3 linked regions of the Mus musculus genome follow. The protein of the gene in region 1 binds, or shares a complex with, the protein of each later gene. Links are inferred from orthologs where the notes say so. Each region holds a gene or a part of one and is shown in the gene's direction. Other genes may lie near its edges.

The links. Proteins that work in one complex are often made in the same cells at the same time.
Region 2: the proteins of Cckbr (region 1) and Gnaq are in contact, whole or in part, in a cryo-EM structure (PDB 7F8W), measured with the Homo sapiens proteins. The link is inferred for Mus musculus from reciprocal best matches to the Homo sapiens genes CCKBR and GNAQ. Residues at the interface, in NP_795344.1 of Homo sapiens: Thr87, Val88, Thr89, Asn90, Glu151, Arg152, Ala155, Ile156, Pro159, Leu160, Ala162, Arg163, Val164, Trp165, Gln166, Thr167, Ile241, Leu245, Gly248, Leu249, Val331, Leu335, His394, Arg396, Phe397; in NP_002063.2 of Homo sapiens: Arg30, Arg34, Asp35, Arg37, Arg38, Leu40, Ser198, Val199, Phe341, Lys345, Asp346, Ile348, Leu349, Gln350, Asn352, Leu353, Lys354, Glu355, Tyr356, Asn357, Leu358, Val359.
Region 3: the proteins of Cckbr (region 1) and Gnai2 are in contact, whole or in part, in a cryo-EM structure (PDB 7F8V), measured with the Homo sapiens proteins. The link is inferred for Mus musculus from reciprocal best matches to the Homo sapiens genes CCKBR and GNAI2. Residues at the interface, in NP_795344.1 of Homo sapiens: Thr87, Thr89, Arg152, Ala155, Ile156, Pro159, Leu160, Ala162, Arg163, Val164, Thr167, Ser169, Ile241, Gly248, Leu249, Lys328, Val331, Leu335, His394, Arg396; in NP_002061.1 of Homo sapiens: Glu28, Ala31, Arg32, Glu33, Val34, Lys193, Leu195, Thr220, Phe337, Thr341, Asp342, Ile344, Ile345, Asn348, Leu349, Lys350, Asp351, Cys352, Gly353, Leu354, Phe355.

What each region holds. Positions count from the first base shown.
Region 1 is NC_000073.6:105,424,322-105,428,530, forward strand, and holds the start of Cckbr (gastrin/cholecystokinin type B receptor), read left to right. Parts: upstream 1-1,409; 5' UTR 1,410-1,703; coding exon 1,704-1,854; intron 1,855-4,209. UniProt on the Homo sapiens protein: Receptor for gastrin and cholecystokinin. The CCK-B receptors occur throughout the central nervous system where they modulate anxiety, analgesia, arousal, and neuroleptic activity.
Region 2 is NC_000085.6:16,131,266-16,135,562, forward strand, and holds the start of Gnaq (guanine nucleotide-binding protein G(q) subunit alpha), read left to right. Parts: upstream 1-1,418; 5' UTR 1,419-2,060; coding exon 2,061-2,196; intron 2,197-4,297.
Region 3 is NC_000075.6:107,632,465-107,636,888, reverse strand, and holds the start of Gnai2 (guanine nucleotide-binding protein G(i) subunit alpha-2), read left to right. Parts: upstream 1-1,545; 5' UTR 1,546-1,671; coding exon 1,672-1,789; intron 1,790-4,424. UniProt on the Homo sapiens protein: Guanine nucleotide-binding proteins (G proteins) are involved as modulators or transducers in various transmembrane signaling systems.

The sequences.
Region 1 (4,209 bases):
TTGCAAACTCTGGCTTATTTGGTAAAATCCCCTCTAAGTGGGAGTTCTTCATGGACAGACTCATTGCATGAAAGGGTGGCACAAAAGTCCCATAATTAATACCTGGATACATAGTTTTCTGGATAAGTGAGTGTAAGCTACATCCATGTCCCTCTCTCTCCCCCCTACATTCCCTTTGTCCCCGTGTTTCTCAGTGCTACCGTCATCCAATGTGGGAAAAGCTCATCGGATTATCAGAGATGCCACCTGTGCTGGAGCTGAGCAAACACCAGGTTCCTCTGATCCCGGGCTCTCAGACAAGCAGAGGTGACAGTGGAGGGAGGGGGTGATGACATCCCAGGCTTAGCCCCTCCTCCAGCTCTGCAGTCCTTATGAACTCAATGCTGACTGATCAGGTCCTTTCCAAAACAGTCAGGATACTGAATCCGAATTCCCCATGTATCTAGACTACCCCACCCCCACTCTAATTCTCTCTTCCTCTGTCTCCACCCCCCCCCCCCAACCTCTGACAGCCACTTTGGGATCCCAAAAGATATTTCACATCACACTAGAATTTCTTTGGAATGGATGACACTGGTCGAAACAAGGCCACAAAGTAGAGGAGGCCAGTCCTGCCTCAGGAAGCGGAATCCACTTCATTGGCGCCTTCAGTTTTGTCCAACCCCTACCCCGCCCCCGCCACACTCCAGTGACCCAGTCCTTTTCTGATCCCCTCTCATGGGAACCCAGCACCCTACTCCCTTGCTGTATCCGTGCTGAGGGCAAATGGAGCATCATCGTTTCAGGTGGGGGTGGACGCTGCCTAGAGACTAGGTAGATGACCAAGCTGCCTGCTCCCTATCTTTCACCCTAGTCAGGGCCAGAACTAGAACCCTTACCACACCTCAACTCAGTTCATTTAGTGCATTTCTCACCTCAATTCCCCGCCGCCCCCAGTGCCCTAGTCCACTCTAGCCCTTTTCCTTGTACAGTCTCCATTGTGAGCAACTGCGGCCCTCCAGGACCCTCCGAGTCTTTGAAGAAAAGGCCTGGGTTTGGGGTTTCAGATAGGAGGTGGGATGTACAAAGGCAGAAGCTAGCCTTCACGAAAGAGCTAAGGTAGCTGATACTGTGGTTATCACTGCGGCCACTGCGGCAGAACTCGGTAACTGCGGCTCCAGACAAACTAAGGCACCTGCTCTGTAGCGGGGACCCTGGGACTCAAACCGGATCACCACCGCCATCACCACGTCTTCTAAACCACCAAAGAAAGATGCTGGACCGCACAGCAGCTACCCCATCACACCATCCCCTCCAGCAGGCGCACGTGTAAACACACACACACACACACACACGAATTTCCAGAACTGGGGACATTGGTATGAGAGGTGGGCAGAAAAGACATTTCTAAGAGAAGGAGAACCTAGCGCGGGGGCGAGCCTGCCTGGAGTGCAGTCACCCAGGAGCGCGCGCACGGAACTCTGGAGCCAAGGAGGCGCGCCAAGAGTCACCTGGTGGGACAAAAGCCGCCCAGAGCTTGGGACCGGCTGGGTCTAAGGGAAGGCTGGTGGCAGAGTGGAGGAGTAGGGGCCAGGGCAGGGGGCGGAAACTAGGAGGGGCTGGCGATGTGGTGGGCGGGAGCCTGAGCGAGCAGCGCCGCGGGAGCAGGTGGAACCGGTGCTGGAGCTAGCTTAGTTGGAGCTGAGTGGGACTTCACAGGAGCCATGGATCTGCTCAAGCTGAACCGCAGCTTGCAGGGACCAGGACCCGGGTCAGGGTCTTCTTTGTGCCGCCCGGGTGTCTCCCTCCTCAACAGCAGTAGCGCCGGCAACCTCAGCTGCGAGACCCCTCGTATCCGCGGAACCGGGACCAGAGGTGGGTGCCTCCCTAAGCCCTTCTCACTGCACCACACAGCACTATTCGAGAACCCCTTTGACCTCTACACTGTCAGCTGCCCATAGCTTACCCTGATAGGACTTCCTCAGCTCCCACCTAGGTCCCTCCCCTCCACACACTGGCTCCCAAGCTCTCCTGACTCCAACACCTTCACACCATGCTTCAGAGCCCTGGCCTCATACTTGCCCTGCCATTAGCTACCTAGATCATTCTCAAGTTAAGCATCACACAGCTGGGAAGCAAGGACCTCTTCTTGTCAGAGGGTCTAGCTTTCTTTTCCAGTTTACAGAGCCAGTACTGAGGGAGAGGCAGGAACCAGGGAAAGAAAGGCAAAAGAAGGAGGCTGGGCCGGTGAGGGTAGAAGCTCTCTGGACTGCATGAATAAGAGTTGTAATCATCCCCCTCTACCCCAACCTTCCGAATGAAATATTCTCAGATCTGAATTTAGCAGGCACTGGGGGAAGTTACCTTTCTTGTTTCATTTGTCCCCAAACTCCTCTGCTCCCAGGGTCCTTCATCCACCTATGTGCTTTCTCTGTCTCTCTGAAGGTCCCCAAGTCCCTTCCAAAGCTCCCCAAATATCCCTTTTCTCACTTGCCTAGAACTAACTTCCCCTGGCAACAGTCACCCCATTCCTTTGTGTCACCTTCCCTTCGTACTGCTTTCCCTCATCCCAGCTTCAAAATGACTCATTCCTTCCATCAGTAGCATCTTCATTGCTTCAATGAACATCTTTAAATGTATGCCCCCCCCATCCCTATATTTGCTTGCAATGTTTAATGAACGTTTGTTAGGCTTAGCACTGGGGACACGGAATGAACTAGACACAGACTGCAGTCTCAGCAGTCTGCAGCCAAGTACACAGGGACAGAGACCACGGGTAACAATCACTGCCTGGAAATCCCACAAGAGGGTCTGATTGGGATGTGGACATCCAAAGTAATTGGGGGTCTGGTAACTTCACTGGGGGTGGGAGGTGGAACCTAGGAGCTTGGGTTCAGTAAATGGAAAGGGAAGGAGTTGGATTCTATGTTCAAGATGTAAACATTGAAATAAATTATAAATCTACATATTTACTCAGCTTATGAAACAATTCATGCTTTCTCAGTTTGGCTTTTACCCACTGTCACTTAGACTCTTTCATTCAGAAAATGTTTATTGAACCAGAAACTGTGCTAGGCAACAAGGGTCGAGTTTAACAAAACTGACACAGCCCTGCTCCGAGTTTCTAGGGGAAACAGACAAGTAAGCCAGGAGTGGCAGCAGGAAGAGAAGAAAGACAGTGTATATACAAGAGGGGCATCTCCAGCCTGCTCTGCCCTTGGGGATGAAGGCAGGTTTCCTGAGATAGGGATACGATCAAGTAGGGAAATAAGACAAAGAGCTAAGTGACTGAGCAGAAGAGGCATAAAATGTCTTAGGCGAAGACAGCCTATCTAAAAAACTTCAAGTTTAAGGCCATAGCATGTTTGTTCAGTACAACACAGTTTTTGAATGACTGGAACATGTACCATTGAAGGTAGCTAATAATACTTAGGCTAGACCAGCCTAGAGTATATTTGGAGAGCTTTATAGCCCTTGCTATAGTGTGTAGATTTTATCCTGAGGCATTGGGATCCACGGAATAGTGTATGCTGTCAGAGTTAATTGCATGGTGTTGAGATTGAGATGGAATGCAGAAGGATACTTTAGAAAACTATTGCATTACATAGATCTGGCTGGAAGATGATGCTAGCTCAGAAGGAGGGGCTGGCAGTACAGATGCAGAGAAGATGGATCCACGAGCCACTTCTGGAAATGTCGTCAAAAAAATAAAACCCTGAACATTGGTTAGAAGCAGAGAGGGTGGATGAGGTCAAGGGATGAAATCCAGTTTCTGGTTTAGGAAACTGAAAGGATGTGGATGGCCTATCACAGAAAGACAACCAAGAAGAGGCTGGATATGCACGTCATATGACAGCACTTGCCTGCAACTACAAGCATTCAGCACCTAGTAACAAAGGAGCAGAAGCAGTTTGGGAAGAAGGGATTATTATAAACTCAATTTGGAACCCATAGTGTTCAAAAAATGATGGTTACTCACCAAAGCTGTTGAATCCTGGGATCTGGAACTTACCTTGGAGATCTGAGCTGGAAATAGAGACTTGAAAAGTCTTCACTAGAGGGAGGGGTATACTGGAAACCATAGGAATAGGCAAAATATATTTTTAAAATATTGTGTAAAATGAGAGCAAGGAAGCTGAGACAGGACCCAAGAGAAGACTGGCATTTAAAAGCAAGGCAGAGGAGGGAAGGTCTGCAAGGAGATGCAAATGAAACACAAACAGTAGCTGT
Region 2 (4,297 bases), on another chromosome or scaffold:
GTATTCATATAAAAGGGGTGAGAGGTTCACCTTCTTTGCTTCTTTGCTTCTTTGGCAAGGTATCTTTTTTAAAAGCAGAGTATTACATACAGACTTTACGTCCACAACTCCATCTGAGTCCTGGCATAGAGGCTGAATGTATGCATGCAGTGTATCACGGGGGTGGGGGGGTGGGGGTGGGGGTGGGGGTGGGGGTGGGGGATGGGGTGGGGTGGTGGTGGTGGTGGTGGAGAATAAGGCAAACCAGAGGAGAGACCTTGAAGTCCAAGACTTGTTTCATTCTTAAGTTGCAGCAATGGGTATGATCTTACATTGCAGCCCAGATCAACAGGAGCAGTTTATGAAAAGCATGAAATGTGGAGGCGCCCACTTCTATCTATAAAGTCAGGAAAAATAGTACGATTCTCCTCTTGATGTTTGAGACACACTGAATTGAATGAACCTTTTTTTTTCCCCAATACAACCTTGAATGAACAAGATATTTTCTATTTATTAGTAAACCACCTCAAATTAGAAGTATAAAAACCAAATAGAATTTTGCTCCAATGATACTAGTTTCTTCACTTTCTCCTATTTTATTCTCTCTCCCTCCCCCTTTTCTTTGCTACAAGGTCTCATACTGCTCAGGAAGCAATTCTCCTGCCTCAGCCTGTGGAGTGTGGAGTTTATGGGTGTGAGCCACCATATCTGTCTCTTTCATTTCATTCTGTACTACTTGGCGTTCTCCCAGAAGTCATCCTTAACTGTCACGGTGTAGAAGGGTCAATCCTACATTACCAGACTGTTTAACGTAGTGTGCTGGTAGGAAAACAGAAACCACCTCAGTGACCCGAAAAGTTGGAACGGATCAGGAGGCTCTTGGAAACTTGGGCAGCTTCTTTTTTTCTCTTTAGGATTCAGATTCCTATCTGGAGATAAGGAGGACAGTTCCGTCCACAGATCCCTCAGTAACCCCCAGAGAGCCAGTGACAATCCTTTCTCTTCCCTAGTAAAGAGCATCCCATCTTCTAAGATGGATCTTGGGTCAGAGGCCACTCGAGGCAGCTTCTTCCCAATGGCGTTTTAGAAATAGGAAAGGGCAGCCCGGCTGCAGAGAGGCCCGGAGCGCAGCGCGTGGGCTCCCGGCAGGGCTCCCGCAGCGCCAGCGGCCAGAGGGCAGGCCGAGGCCGCCATATTCTCGCCGACCACGCCCCGGCAGCCCAGCGGCAGCCGAAGGTCGGTGTCCGCCTGCCGGACCCGCTCCAACGGCCGTGACCGCCGCGCCGGAGCTCGCACAGAGGGAGGCGGCCGGCGAGCGGGGCGGGCAGTCGGGGGCGGGGCGAGGAGAGCGCGAGCTGTCCAGGAGGGGCCGCGGTCCCGCCCCTTGCGCTGTGCCCGCCCCCTGCGCCCGTCCTCCTCCTCCTCCTCCCGCCGCCGCCGCCCCCTCCCGGATCTGTGCTCCAGTTCAGAGAAAGGAGAAAATGTGTGTGTGTGGCGAGGGGGAGGGCGAGCACTGAGCAGCCGCGGCGCGCCTGGCAATCGGGCCGGGTGGGCGTCCGGCGGAGGCGGGGGCGGAGGCGGGGAGCGCGCGGCGGCCGGCTGCCCGGTTTGCGAGCGAGCCGAGTGGGCGCGGGCAGGCCGAGGGCGCCCGGAGCCGAGTCAGGCGGCGGCGGCGGCGGCGGCGAGGAGCGGGCGCGCCGGGCGCGCTGAGCCGTCGGCGGTCGCTCGCTGCGGGGCCGCCTCGGTGGATGAGCTCGGGCCGCTGGGCGCACAGCCTTGGGCAGCGTCGGCGGCGGCGCCTGGAGGGCCGCGCGCTCTCCGAGAAGGCGGCGTGTGAGCGCGGCGGGGCGCGGCGGCCTTTCCTCGCGCGTCCCAGGCTCCCGGCCCCGCTCGTTCCCGGCCCGCCTGGGCTGCGGGCCCGGCCGCCTCCTTTACCGCGGCTCCCCTGAGCTCGTCCCTGACGCGCGCCCGGGCGGCGGGGCTCCGCGGCCGCCGCTGCCTCGGGGGAGCGAGGGCGGAGGGCGTGTGTGCGCGCGTGTGAGCAGGGCGCCGGCGGGGCTGCAGCGAGGCACTTCGGAAGAATGACTCTGGAGTCCATCATGGCGTGCTGCCTGAGCGAGGAGGCCAAGGAAGCCCGGAGGATCAACGACGAGATCGAGCGGCAGCTGCGCAGGGACAAGCGCGACGCCCGCCGGGAGCTCAAGCTGCTGCTGCTGGGTGAGTGCGGCCCTTGGGCCCCGGTACCCCCCGCCCCGGCTCGCCGCTGCCCTCCCCACGCGCGTCCCCGGCCGGCACCCGCACCCGCACCCGCGCGCGCGCACCCAGGGGCCGAGGGCCGGGGCTCCCGGGCGCGGATCCGCGGCGTGCGCCTTTGGTGTCAGCTAGGGCCGTGCTCGGTGCACAGCGTCTGCGGGACGGCTGAGCGTCCGCGCGAGCGGCGCGGGTGGGCAATGGCGTGCAGTGCGGTGGTCGGCCAGCGTCCATTGTGGCGCGTTGTGGGGTGGAGAGGGAAGGGTGGAAACGGGGAGCAGACCCCGGTCTGGATTCTGCTAGGAAAGGTGCTGAGGAAGCCTTGGCTGGCGCTCCAATAAACCCGGGTTAACGTACTGGGCAGGGGCGGGGCGGGAAGACTAGCCCAAATGTGCTATACTGTAGCCACCAGGCCACTGACAGGAGTGACCCCAGAGAGTTGCATGGCCAGTGGATGGTGACAGGCGTCTCTATGAACCATTCCTTCCGGATAAAGATGAAGGATCCGGGAGTGTTGTACTGTGTGGTTGTTGACAGCAGACGGGTGTCTTTTGTTTAATGAGGCGACCCAGATGTATGCCTGAATTCACAGCAGTTTCTACTGGAAACCAGCGCAGCCTCTCAGTTACTCTCCTGGAAACAAACAGAAACCTTTTGTTTAAAACGGACATTTTAGTATCTTGCCATCTGGGCTCCAAGAAAAAACGGGAAGAGTGAGAGAAAATTTCCCTCTGATCGCGTTTAAAAAAACAAAACAAAACAAAACAACAACCCAACATTCTCCCTTAACATGAAATTAGCAAGAAAATGCTATTTTCAAATAGGAGCTATATTGATTATTATCTCCGAGAGAGTGTTCGGAATCAAGCGATCAGGGTCCATGTACAAGCTAGCATGACATAACTATTGCTATTGTGGTAGGAAGCAAGAACTGCTTTGCAGGAACAGGCCTGAAAAATGTCTGCACTTGTGTTTATTTGTTACCGCTTCACAAACATTTCTGTAAGAAAAGAATGTTGCATTGTTGGGATTTGAGAAGACACCCCCCCCCCCCCCGTTTTTTTCTTTTCATTTTTCTTTTTTTTGCTATCTGGAGCATTCCATGTGCTGGCTCCAAGAACCCATTACCTTGGGGCCTGGCTTGCTTATCGTCAGGAGCAAAATATCATAATCACACATGGTTCCCAATGCTGTTCCCTTCCCTTAACCAAGGTCTTTATATTGAAATCCAGTTAGGTAAATGTGCACATATAATGTGTTCATAAAGACTAGAAGGCAAGGGGCTGACTAGAAAGATGGGTTTCAGGGGGAATAAGCCAGAGCAATGGGGAAACTGGGTAAGCCTGTCCACCCTCATCATTTCTGTTTCTTCTCAAGGCTGAAAATGGAATGTCTTATCTTTTTTTTTTTTTTTTAATTGAGAAGGGAGAAGCAAGGGCAAGTGGGATAAATATATGTTGATCCAGTATACAATTAAGAGGAAAGACACGTGTTTTAGAGATTTTTCTCTTAGACCTGGCTTTTAATTTTCCTTTGTTTATAGTCTTCATATGTTTGTGTTTAGCTAGGAACAGGGCATTTGAGGTCTCATTGACCAAACTTATTTGCCTGAAATTTGACAGCTCCAGGTTTCCCAGCAGCTATGAGTTAGGTTTGTCAGAGGGCCTAGGTTTACATGCCTGAGAGGGGAATACACTTAGAGAGATGCTTAATTACATGCTGTGTATTTTAATAATATACCATGCTTTAAAAAACGAACGTGGAAGTGATTTCCCGAGGGGGAAACCCCCCCAGTTCTCCAGCTAAGAAAGTGGTAGCTGTAGGTGTGTGGCGGCCCTCCCGCACTGATTCTAGATGGAGCAGGGTTTAACCTGGCCCCACCTCACCCGTCAATGACAGGCTGTTGGAGCTGGTAGGAAACCTGCCACTTACTCAGCACCTACATCCACGAGCAACATTTAAAAACCATACAGTTCTCAGTCAGAAGCGGGCGCCCTGGACATCCTTAGCAACCACGGCTGCCCTCAGCCTGGAGGGGCTTCTTTCCCAAGTGCGGTATCCACACTGT
Region 3 (4,424 bases), on another chromosome or scaffold:
TACAGGCTAATGACACCTCCACAGGGAAGACATTCTGATGATTGAGACACACGGACACTCCAGAGCAAGCCAGCAAGTTGGAGGGTAGAAGCTGGAACACGCGCTTTGTCCAGGTAGTGCTGTTCTCACAGGAGGCTGTGTCCAACTCTTTTTTTTTTAAACATTTATTTATTATTATATGTAAGTACACTGTAGCTGTCTTCAGACACCCCAGAAGAGGGTCTCAGATCTCATTATAGATGGTTGTGAGCCACCATGTGGTTGCTGGGATTTGAACTCGGGACCTGCGGAAGAGCAGTCAATGCTCTTAACCGCTGAGCCATCCCTCCCGCCCCCCATTTATTTATTATTACATGTAAGTACACTGTAGCTGTCTTCAGACACACCAGAAGAAGGTGTCAGATCTCATTAAGGATGGTTGTGAGCCACCATGTGGGTACTGGGATTTGAACTCAGGATCTCCAGAAGAGCAGTCGGCACTCTTAACCGCTGAGTCATCTCTCCAGCCCTGTGACCAACTCTTAATGGCAGTGTCCTTCTCTGGCTTTAGTCTGGGGCCACTCAGAACACCTTGCACACTTCAATCGTCCAATCAAAGTTGGTGGGTCATAGGCCCCTCTTAAAAAGCAGATCACAAAGATTGGAAATAGCTCCACTTCCACCTTTGCACAGCCACAGGATCACAGCCACTACCCAGAAGAGACATGGAACTGAAGAAGCCTCTAGAAGCTGACAGAGGATGGAAGGAACAGATTATAGGATCATGGCAACGTTTGTTTCCTTAAGTCCAATGACAACTCTCTCTTGTCTATCTCTCCTAGAGTCCAGTCTCATTGGTCTCTGGTTGAAGCCCCGGATTGCTGCCTGCAGGAGAAAGGTTCCCAACCTATCAGGCAAAAGGACGACGTTTAGATGACAGAAGATAGTCCACTCAAAGGTGTAAAGGCGGCAGTGAACTCTTTTTGTTTTTAATGTGGTGCAACCTACACAGAAGAGGAGGGGGCGCTGCTTTAAAGAAAATCGAGGTCCAGAAAGAGATCATGTGACCCTCCGCAGAGTTTAGTAGATCTCCAAATAAGTTTATAGGCTCAGTTTTAGCAAGTGAAGAAGACACACCTCCTCCATCTTACTCTCATAATTCACAAATGCTCAGAGTCCTGGTTTCTATTTGGCCTGTGGCGAGGGCAGGTAGTCCTGACCCTTGGGCTACTAGATCAACTAGTCCTACAGTCCAGAAACAGAGCCTCAGGCTCTCAGCATCCAATCGGAGACTAGCTCCTCCTGCAGCCCGCCCAGAGGCCTAAGCCTGTGTTAGCTCTACCCTTGGTGTCTTCCCTCGTTGCGGCCCCGCTCTCAGCTTGCGCCTAAGGCTGGACTGAGCCTAACTTCTCCCTTGGCTCCGCCCTCCAACCAATCACCATCCCTAAATTTCCTTCGGCCCCTCCTCCAGACCCGCCCCGGCCCAGTCGCGGGCTTGGTTCGCCCGGGCCCCACCCCTGGCCCGCCCCGCCGTCGGTGCGCGGCGGCCGGGAAGGCGCCTCCCGCAGTCGCTCGGAACTGCGGACCTGAGAGCTTCCCGCAGAGGGCCGGCGGTGGGAGCGGAGTGGGTCGGGCGGGGCCGAGCCGGGCCGTGGGCCGTGTGGGGGCCAGGCCGGGCCGGCGGACGGCAGGATGGGCTGCACCGTGAGCGCCGAGGACAAGGCGGCAGCCGAGCGCTCTAAAATGATCGACAAGAACCTGCGGGAGGACGGCGAGAAGGCGGCGCGGGAGGTGAAGTTGCTTCTGTTAGGTGAGGCAGCGCCCCGTTCTGGGACCCTTGACTCTCTACGCTAATCCCCAGACAAGGACCTGAAACTGCTCAGCCTGGCCTTGCACCCTACACCTGCGCTTGAAACCAGTAGGAGCCACCCTTTTAAGATCCGAAACTCTGGATTGGTCTAGATTTATAATCCTAGTCCAGACTTCATTCAGACCCTCAACTCATCCCAGATCCCACACACCAAACCTTGTATGACTATCTCCCCCCCCCCTTGTTATCCAGTCTCAAGAGAACTCAGACCCTGCCGTGTATTTCCGCACTTTCTCAGGCTTTTCTTAAACCCTCAGCACCCTGCCGGCTCCCACCTTCAAGCCCCACCTGTTCTATTTCTCTTGGCACGAGCATTCCTTGGGACCCTGGTCAAGCCTCGACCCACTCCCTCTTTTCCTTACTCTGGGATCTGTATTCTCCCTCTTTGCACTCTGACCCTTCAAGAACCTCTTTAAGAGGGAAACTGACTACTCTCAAGTTCTCTGTAGCAGGATTCCCCGCAGGGCCTCTGTTCCAGGTCACCAGATCTCTCTTTCTCTCTGTGTGTGTGTGTCTCTCTCTCTCTCTCTGTCTCTCTCCCTCCCTCTCTCTGCAGGTATCAACCCCCAAATCATCTGCCCCTCTTTTAAGGCTTTTCTCACACTCTGCCGTTCCCTTGCTTCTGCGCCCTCCTGCCCCAGGTGGGCCTTGTTGATAGGAGGAGGGGCACCAGGGGCTGGGGTGGGCCTAGGCTGAGCTGGGCAGACCCTTTGCAAGAGGTTGGTCTGACTCTGAGAGTCACACTGGGAAACAGGGGCCAGGCCTCTAGCATTTGCGGGAAGTTCCATTCCCTGGGATCCAAGGCTTGTCTGGGCCAGGGCCAGGGGAGTCTGGGCAATAGGAGGGAACATGGAGGAGTTAGGGTTGTTGTCACTTCCAAGGCCAAGGAAGATGGTGGCTGCTGGGATGGGGGGGAAGTGGAAGTAGTGAACCAACCGACATATTGCTGCCCCTGTGTGCCGGCCTGGAGAGATCTGCTGACGGCTGCTGGGCTTCTCACACTCGGGGCTGGAACGCCAGGGATATGGCCTAGGATACTGAGTAGACCTGTTGGTTCCCCAGAGGAATACTGTGATGTGGGGGTGGTGGGCAAGCTGAATGAGGGGCTGGTAAGGAGTCTGCTGCCTGTAGCCCCGTGTGCGCTCAAGCATCCCAGCTAGGCTTTGGCAGAGGCAGTGGGCCTGATGCTTGTGTCCAGACCCACACCGGTCGTCAGAGTGGCTCCCTGTGGAAGCCTGACTTGAGAAGACCAGTTCCTCTGGATTGTGGGGAGCAAGGCCCTAGCAGCAGCAGAAGCCGCGCAGCAGCGTAATCGGCTGGATAGTATGTGGGGGGGTGTGGCCCCTCAGCCCCAGGGCCGCCTTGGGGGCCTGCATGCTGTGAAAAGCCTGGCTTTTTTTATTTTTTATTTTTTGGCCAGGCCTGTGGCCGAGAAACATGTACGTCTTTATGGATCCATCTGTTGACTGTCCCGGCGGACCCGGCCTGGGGGCACAGCCCCGGAGGTTTCAAAATGGCATCCGCTCCACTGCTGCCGCGGGGAGGAAGAGAAGGGGCGGGAAGGGGCGGCGGCCCAGCCTCCTGGGCTGCTTTGCGTTGGGCGCTTGCCTCTTCCTGTCTCTGCTGCGAGTGCGGCGAGCAGTGAGTGGGTGTCGACGCGGCGGCGGCAGCGGCAGCGGCGGAATGTCCGTTGCTGCTGGGCCTAGGGAGGGCACTTCCGGGACCGCTACCTCCCAGTGCCCAGCCCGGAGCCCCTTACCAACCCCTCCCAGGTTTATTGGCAGTTATTGTGGTGGCCAAGGAGATGTGGATCTGGACCAGAGAGCAGGGGGAAGGGGGCTGCACAGGACGCCTGGCCTGTTCTGTAACACACGGTTTCCTCTATGCAGACAGGCTTGTCCCTTAGAGCTCAGCTCAGCTTTTGGGCCCGGCTAGGCGATACCTGGTATCCTTTCCTACCCTAGGCTGGCAGTAGCCAGTGATATAGGGTCTGGCTTAGCACTTTCTCACACAACAGTCCATCCCAGGATCCTGTCCCTCTGGCCTTTTCTTCCTCTAAAATGGAATTCCTGCCTTGTGTCAGCGGAGTACCCGCGGTGAGACTAAGACCCTGCAAAGGGTGTGCAGCCAAGGGCTCAGAGCTCTGTCTGAAATGGACAACCCAGTCTTCATGACCAGTCTGTCACTGCTACCTGGGAAGGGATCTTGACTTGAGCTAATCAACTCCCCATCAAGGAATAAGGTGACAACAGGACCCCAGCTGTAGCAGGTTAGGGATTCTGGGCACCAGTTCTACATAGCCGGAGACTCTGTCCAGGCAACGGGGACTTAAACTGGGAAAGTGCCAATCTTCCCTCCCAGCCAGAACCACGCCTGCTGCCCCACCCGCCGCACAATGTCTCCCTCCATACCCTGTATCCCTGCCAGAAGGCGGGCACAGTCACTGTCACCAGGGCAGAGGCAGATGTGGTACACTCTAGCAAGATAGTTTCCCCTGGCAGCTTGGTCAGGCAAGTAGAGAAGCTGATACCAGTCTCCCTGCAGGGCAACCCCCTAGACACCTCCCACACACACA